2 linked regions of the Solanum lycopersicum genome follow. The protein of the gene in region 1 interacts with the protein of each later gene in a pairwise test. Links are inferred from orthologs where the notes say so. Each region holds a gene or a part of one and is shown in the gene's direction. Other genes may lie near its edges.

The links. The genes of interacting proteins can lie anywhere in the genome.
Region 2: the proteins of uncharacterized protein (region 1) and uncharacterized protein interact in a two-hybrid assay, tested with the Arabidopsis thaliana proteins (2 studies listed by BioGRID, with this or other methods). The link is inferred for Solanum lycopersicum from reciprocal best matches to the Arabidopsis thaliana genes AT3G02420 and AT5G49540.

What each region holds. Positions count from the first base shown.
Region 1 is NC_090802.1:12,575,191-12,578,949, reverse strand, and holds the start of uncharacterized protein, read left to right. Parts: upstream 1-1,290; 5' UTR 1,291-1,422; coding exon 1,423-1,599; intron 1,600-2,543; coding exon 2,544-2,670; intron 2,671-2,789; coding exon 2,790-2,890; intron 2,891-3,759.
Region 2 is NC_090800.1:62,622,883-62,626,641, reverse strand, and holds the start of uncharacterized protein, read left to right. Parts: upstream 1-890; 5' UTR 891-1,059; exon of another isoform or gene 1,060-1,402; intron 1,403-1,528; 5' UTR 1,529-1,545; coding exon 1,546-1,661; intron 1,662-2,707; coding exon 2,708-2,903; intron 2,904-3,759.

The sequences.
Region 1 (3,759 bases):
GTTTATGTGTTTTGTGTGAGTTAGTGATATGATATTGTGAAATGTGAATTATGGGTGAACTTACAACGAAATCACTGTAAGATTACTGTAGGTTTACTGTAATGTTCTTGTAAATTGAACATAATTGGTAAATGTGTTCTAATAATAATGTTTGGTGCTTAAATGTGGTTCTTATACTTTTAATATGATGTTTTAATTAAAAAAAAAAAGAGCATGTTTCTCATAAATGTCAGTTTCTCATGATTTTATGCATTAAGTCATACTTAGTACATGTGTTTATACTAATTCCATACTTTTTGTCTATCTCTAAAGGTATGATAAACAGGTGAGAGAAATCTTGGAGCAAGCTTGGAATCTAGTAATCGTTCAAGCAAAGTTGAAGTATGTCCTCACTTGAGTCGAGGGCATACCTATCTTTAGACTTATTTTATTCAAGTATTGTAATAGACTAAGTAATTCTATATTCGTATTGTATGGGCCGTGTCCCAAATATTCTTGTGTTTAAAATTGGCATATGTTGAGACTTAGTATTTTCATATGATATTAATTTCAAAGATGTTTTAAGATATTTCGTGTGAAAAGTTTTAATTTCGCACTACTTTTCATACATATATATACTGAATGATGTCAAAGGCCTTGTACAAGACCTCCGAGAGGTCAAGTACGCCATGTCACACTCCGAGAGTGTCATATCTTCTATGATGTGCTCCGGGGTGTGACAATGTAATTCTTCTAGGTATTCCAGACACTTTGTATGAAGATAATGTTGTATGTATAGCTCGATTGAAGAGAGGATACATCAAAAGAGACTGGACAAAGTACATTTCACTAAAGTTCTTCTTCACATGTGATCGTCTACAAAATAATGAGATAGATCTTGCAAACTTATTTATTAAGCTGTTGCCAATATCAATATTTGAGAAGTTGAGGTATAAGATTGGAATGTGTCATCTCTTAGATGAGTGGATTGTCTATTGAGTTAATACATGAATAACTATTCATATTCCGTAGGTTCTATTAACCTTTATAGATAAGAATGTATGTATTTATTATGATACTTAATATGATGATTTTTGGAATGATTTCTCAACTTAGAAATAAGGTTTTTCTTTCCCCATTATAAAGATGAAAGAAGAAGACATTTGAATAAAATGATCTCTACACTCTATTCCTCATGTATCTTTGTCTATATTATTTCTAGCATATTACTTTTTTTTTTTTTTATAACAAGTACTTCATATTTAATATTATTCTTATATATTCTATTAAATAAATAGTGGTATGTATCTGTATTTTGATGGTATCTTTAGTGAAAAGTCAAAACCCCAATATTCCTTGAAAACCCTTAACGGTGTCGTATTTTACTCGTATCGAGATATCTAGAGTGGAGAGGTTTGAGTTGTAGGAGAGGAGGAGGAAGAAATGGGAGGAGGAGAAGAAGATCAACAGAAATTGAAGAACACAGCAGCAGCAGCGTATGACTACGAGAATGATCCGAGATGGGCAGATTATTGGTCCAATATACTCATTCCTCCTCACATGGCTTCTCGTTCTGATGTCGTCGACCATTTCAAGCGCAAGTTTTATCAACGATACATAGTCAGTATCTTAACTTATTCGAAATCATTCCACTTCACATGGGGTTTACTACTACATTATCTTTTATTAATTAATGTGTTAATCTCGATTACTCTTGTTTATACTTTGTTGGGACTTGGGACTCCGGTTTTTATGTTTTCAAGCCCTAGTCTTACAAGGCTCTTAGTTCTAAATTTTTCTTAATTCAATTTAACCAAAGGGTTTCTGGAAAAGGTTGGGTTTTGGGTAAATCAGTGGCTTATACTTCATTCCAAGTTGAGAGGGGTTCATTGATTATTTGTTATAATGTCTACAATGGATGAATTTAATGGTATTAGCTTGTAACTCTGAGTTGATTGTACACAAATTTCAGGGACTTCTACTCTCTGCACTGAAAATATCTGTAAAATTTTCCAAATATTGCATCTCTTTTCTTTGTGGTGTGGATTGTTTGAGTATGTCATTCTTCAAAATGAAGCTGAGTTTTTAGGCTTTTTTTTTGTTTCAAAAACACAATCCTTTAGTTTTGTCAAAAACTCTATTTTTTGGGGTTCCCAGCCAGAAATCAAAGAAATAAAAAATGAAGTCTACTTAAAATTAAGATTATTGTTAGATGTATACCTTATTTCACCTGATTAATCACCTCATCCTCCCTTTTCTTGGGGGAACAGAGGAAAGTCAGAAGGGAGGCTCCTAATCATGTCAAATAATAGTGTGTGAATACTCCTAGGCTCTTAGCAATGTTTTCCTGATACCAAAATGAGATTTTTAAAACACAATAATGATAAGAGTGGGGAGTCGGTTCAAGTTCTTGAAGTAGCCCTTCTGCAATTTTGACAGATGCTTTAGCTTTGTTGTACTTAAAATACCATTTCAGATATCTGCAGTGGGACACATCTTTACATTTTTGTGTTGATCTTGGGGTATTGCTTTGGTTTGTTTGATTCTATATCCATTATTTTCAGGACCCTGGTCTAGTGGTTGAGCCAATGGCTACCAGCAGTTCGTCCCAACCAGCAAAACCATCAGTTGCTCAACCATCATCATCATCGTCCACACCTTCTAATAACCAGCCAAGACAGCGTAACTCTGGTATGATTTTTTTTTAGTTTCAACTAAATGGGAAGTGCCTTCCTTCTGGAGAAATTATTCACTTCAGATATAAATCTTTGGTTCATTTAAATGCAATTTATGTAATTTTTCTTGTGTAGGTCAAGCTAGTAGAACTTCAGGCACGCCAACTACTCCAACTTCAAATCCGACATCACTTCGCTGGGACCGAAATACTATACAATTTTCAGTGAATGCTTGGGTACTGTATATTCACATGTACACTAGATATGGGAAACATGTGGACATTTTCCTTATAGAAACACAATAATATTGTAGAAAATCATGTTTGAGTTAGAATATTGAAGTTTTTGATATACCGTAGAGATCAAATGGTCAACTTATTATTATTAGCAGTAACGGAAAGGTGGATTATATACAACAAGGGCAGAATCTTCATGCCTTTAAACTAATATATCTCGTGTACCTACATAGGGTAGAGTGTGTCTATGGAAAATTTCAGTATAGGATTTTTCTTCCCAAGGATCTTCTACAACCTTGTTTTCAATTTATTTGTTATTTGAAATCTGGCATGGTCATAAAATTGAAAAAGAAAAGCAGAAAGGTTGTGAGGAAGAGTTGATTTTAGTATCAGTTGGAGACAACTTTGCATAATAGCCTTTTATTTCTCGAGGTCGCTGTGATATCAAAAATAGTATTGGTTTAAGTTATTCTAGTGACTAGATGTCTAGATCTGTGAAAAAAAAAATACTCGTGTACATGTTTGTGTCAGATTTGTTTACTTTAGCCTCATTCGTTAGTTATTCTAAATGTCATGGTGCATTAATTTTTTCTGCACTCCACCCCCACCCCCTCCAAAAAAGTGTCTTTTGTCGTCTGTTGCATAAGTTGGACACATCATAGAAATTCTATGCTAAGACCTCTCGGAAACTTGTGAGTCAAGGTTTCTTGAAGTTCCTATCATCATTTTGCTTCTCCAAGGCTAATTTTTCATTATCATTTCTTCTTGTTTCCTGGTATATTCTCTTGTGCCTTTGAGCTGAAGTTTGGGACACACTGAACACCATATTGATAATTGGATTTGATACTGTTGCATTGGTATTACTACAA
Region 2 (3,759 bases), on another chromosome or scaffold:
ACCTTTTGGTTCAAAATTGACCACTTATTTAACGGTTTTATATTTAAACTATTTAAATATTTTTTTAAATATGTGGCGCTCAACTATTTGTTATAATTTAACTTATTAGTATAATTTATAAATCAATCCACTACCCACCCATTACTAATTAAACTCCTCTAAATTAATAAACCCGTCACATTATTAATGCAACAATAGAACAGCTACTGCCAACTGAGTGTTTTTTAAAAAATTTAGGCGAAAATATCTATAGAAGTAAATTATTATACATTCAAGTGTCTAAATAAAAATTATCGATAAACTTAAAAGTATGACTATGTTCATCTTAATAATTTTTACGTCTCAATTATGTGATGTTACTTCATAGGTAACTTTTTTTCAAAATAATATATTAAAGGTTTTAAAACAAATCATAAATATTTATAAAATTATATTTAAAAATAGTGCATGAATTAATTGGGGATGCATTGCTTTTTTACCTTTAATCATAAATTTCTAATTCAATCTTGAAAGAGAATTCTATTGAAAGTATCCTCTTAATTCGATACGGACTCGAATAATTTTGAATGTCATTTTCAGGAATCTATAATTTCGTCGTGTTTTAGTAGTGTTATAACGATTTTGATATTATAATTGGATTACTAATTCGGTGGGGTTTAGTTAGTAATGAGTGGGTAGTGATTTGATTTATAAATTATATTAATAAATCAAATTGTAATCAATAGTCGAACGTCAAGTATTTTAATAAAATATATAAAAAGTTTAATTTTAATTTTGAACCCAAAGATGTCAAAGTTGGATGAGAAGGATATTTTAGAGCCAACAAATAAATGAAAAGCGCATATTGAAGTTAATAAATGGATGAATGATAATTTTATATCATTTTTAATACTACAAGTATTTTAGGCTTTTACTTATATTCTATTTAGTATAAGGACTAGGCTAGAGGTTGAGCGAGGGATATTTTGGTCCTTCAATCTCAGAGTTCGTTCTGCCATTGCTTCTTACGGTGCTCTCACAATTAGTAATCATCGCCATCGCCTTAATCAGATTTGTTTGGTTTGTCTCTTTTTATCTCTTTCCGTCTATGTATGTATATGTATATTTACTGTTTCTGTGGATGCTTGCGATTCGGAGTGTGTGTTCATATTTAAGCGAACTGAATTTGAGATATGTAATTTTGAGGTTTTGAGCCGCCCTTGAAGAAACTTCAATTTTCTCTTGTGTTGGTTGAATCCACCAACTGAGGTAGTTTGAATCGAACTGGCTATGATTCGACTTCTTAGTTATGATCATAGAATCAATCAATTGTAACGGGAAGAGTTTGAATTGAACTGGATATGACATCCATGGAAGAACATCTGAATGTTTATGTATTTCATTATCTTATAGGATATCTTGGGTAAATTATTTTGTTATGTTGATGAATTCAATCTTCTTTCTAACTGAGATAGTGAGTGACCACAAAGTTCTATTCTCGATCTACATCTCAACTTCTCTATTCTTATTATTTTGATGTTTGCTGTAGAATTCCAAAAAGGCGCGATGGCTGGGCATGATAACTCGAACGGATCTACAGAAAAGTCGACCAGTGGTATGGATGATTTGCCCACTTTCAATGCTGAGAATATGCAAAACAACATGAAAGTTATTCTTTACAGGTTGGTTTGAGTTTGACACCATATTTAGGTGGACTGAAATTATAGTTCCTTGATGATTTTGGATAGTAACAATTTAGCTGATTTTTCTTATAAAGTCTGGATGTAGGTTGATACAGACTATCGATGTGAATTTCATCCTCAATTATGTGACACTGATGTTAGCCCAACTGAACAACTGGTTGAAATTAGGGATTATATACTCATGTAGCTTTAACTCCTTCACTGAGGCATCATTTCGGTGGAACGTCACTAGGATATAGAATAAAGAATATGGTATAAGTTTAATTAGATAACTTACCTCATTAAGTAGCCTCAGTCTAGCTTCTTTACATCTGTGGGATTACACTTCTACATTGGTATGATTAGTATGTATTTTGGCCAATTGGGTTGCAGTCCTTGATTTCTTCCTATCTTCCTTTCACCCAAGACTATTACTCCTTGCCCTTAAACAGAAAGTGTGTTTGCCCTTGGTACAGTTGTATGCTTGCCTGTAATTGCTAGAGGAGATACGTATAGTCCTATATCCGTTTTTTATCTCTGTAAAGTCCTACAAGTACCTCAATCACCAATTAAACAAACTAATGCCCTAAACCAAGAACTGCAGATTGTAATCATATTAATGGCGAATTTAACCTTTTAAACTTACAATTAATGAATTAGTTGTAGTTTTGAATAATTTCTTTTTGATCAGTAAAGTAATAGCTTTTTGAGTAATTGAACAGTTAATACCTGTTTCCAATGCTAGCGGAAGTCCTGGGACTACCCTTGTCATTTTGCCTCTACAGCAAAGCAACCCCAAGCTCCATAAACTTATCTAAAAAAAGGAAAAATAAACAAATAAATCTGAGCTCTGTGTTGCAACTGTCGACAAAGAAATGTAATACTTGATCACAGAGTTGGAGCAGAAGGATAAATAAAAATATGATTGAGACAGGCAATCAATCATATATTAACAAGAAAATGGGTTCTTTTCGTCTTTCTAAGCTAGTAGATTTTCTTCCTTGTCATTGGATATCTCCATTTACATTGAGCATTCTGTTGTTCAGCCGCACATTCATGGCAATCATTGGTGGTGTCATTGCCGGCATTCTGGGACTTACTAGCTTGACAGGATTTATATTTTATTTCCTTGTCATGGCAATAACTTCAGTTGCACTCACGGCAAAGGCCAAGTTTTCAATCCACTCCTACTTTGACAGCTGGAACAGAGTCTTGCTTGATGGATTTTTTGGCGGTCTTATGGTAACTTCTTTACATTCATAATAAGATCTCTTCTTCATACGTTCTTTATTTATTCTGACCCTTCATCTAGAAATAATTCATCTCCCTGCTCAATCACCTGCACAAGGTTAAAAGGATAGAATATTATAAAACAATTACTTCCGTTCAAAATCATACCCCCTCCATTTCAATTTGTTAGTCCTATCCTTTTTAGTATGTTTCAACAAGAATATCTCTTTCCTTCTTTGGTAACTCTTTAACATTAACTTTCCGCATGGCATATTTAAGACCAGAAGATTAAAGGGCACTTTGTTACATTTGACTATCTTTAATTTAAGACCACAAGATTTGAAAGTCTTCTTTATTTTCTTAAACTCCTTGCCAAGTCAAAACATGACAAATAAATTAAAACGGAGGGAGTGATATTTTTTTGAACCCCTGATTAATTTGTCTACCCTGCCTCGCTTTTTCTGCCTGTTTCTTTAATACCCTTATGGAAGTTTATTCTCAATTCATTTTCCAGTTATGAATTCTTTTCATATCATCTTAACTTTCTTTATTCAAATTTCTCTTTAAGTTACTTAATTATTGGAACTTATTATCAATGTAGGTGAGATTTTGTTGATCAGAATCATGTTTGTCAGTATTCCTGTGGATCTTCTTGATTAATTTTAGGGTGATGGGTTTGTTTTTAGGTCTTTTTTTTTGGCAACTAATAAAGAAATAGGTTTCCTGGCTATCTGTGGACAAGGGGTTGATTTCTAGGTGTTTGTAGCCTATGAACTACCTTTTAGTTTTGATATAGTATCCAACATAACAGTTCCACTGCTTGATTGCTGAGAGGAATTTACTATCACTACATTATGATTTCAAGTTG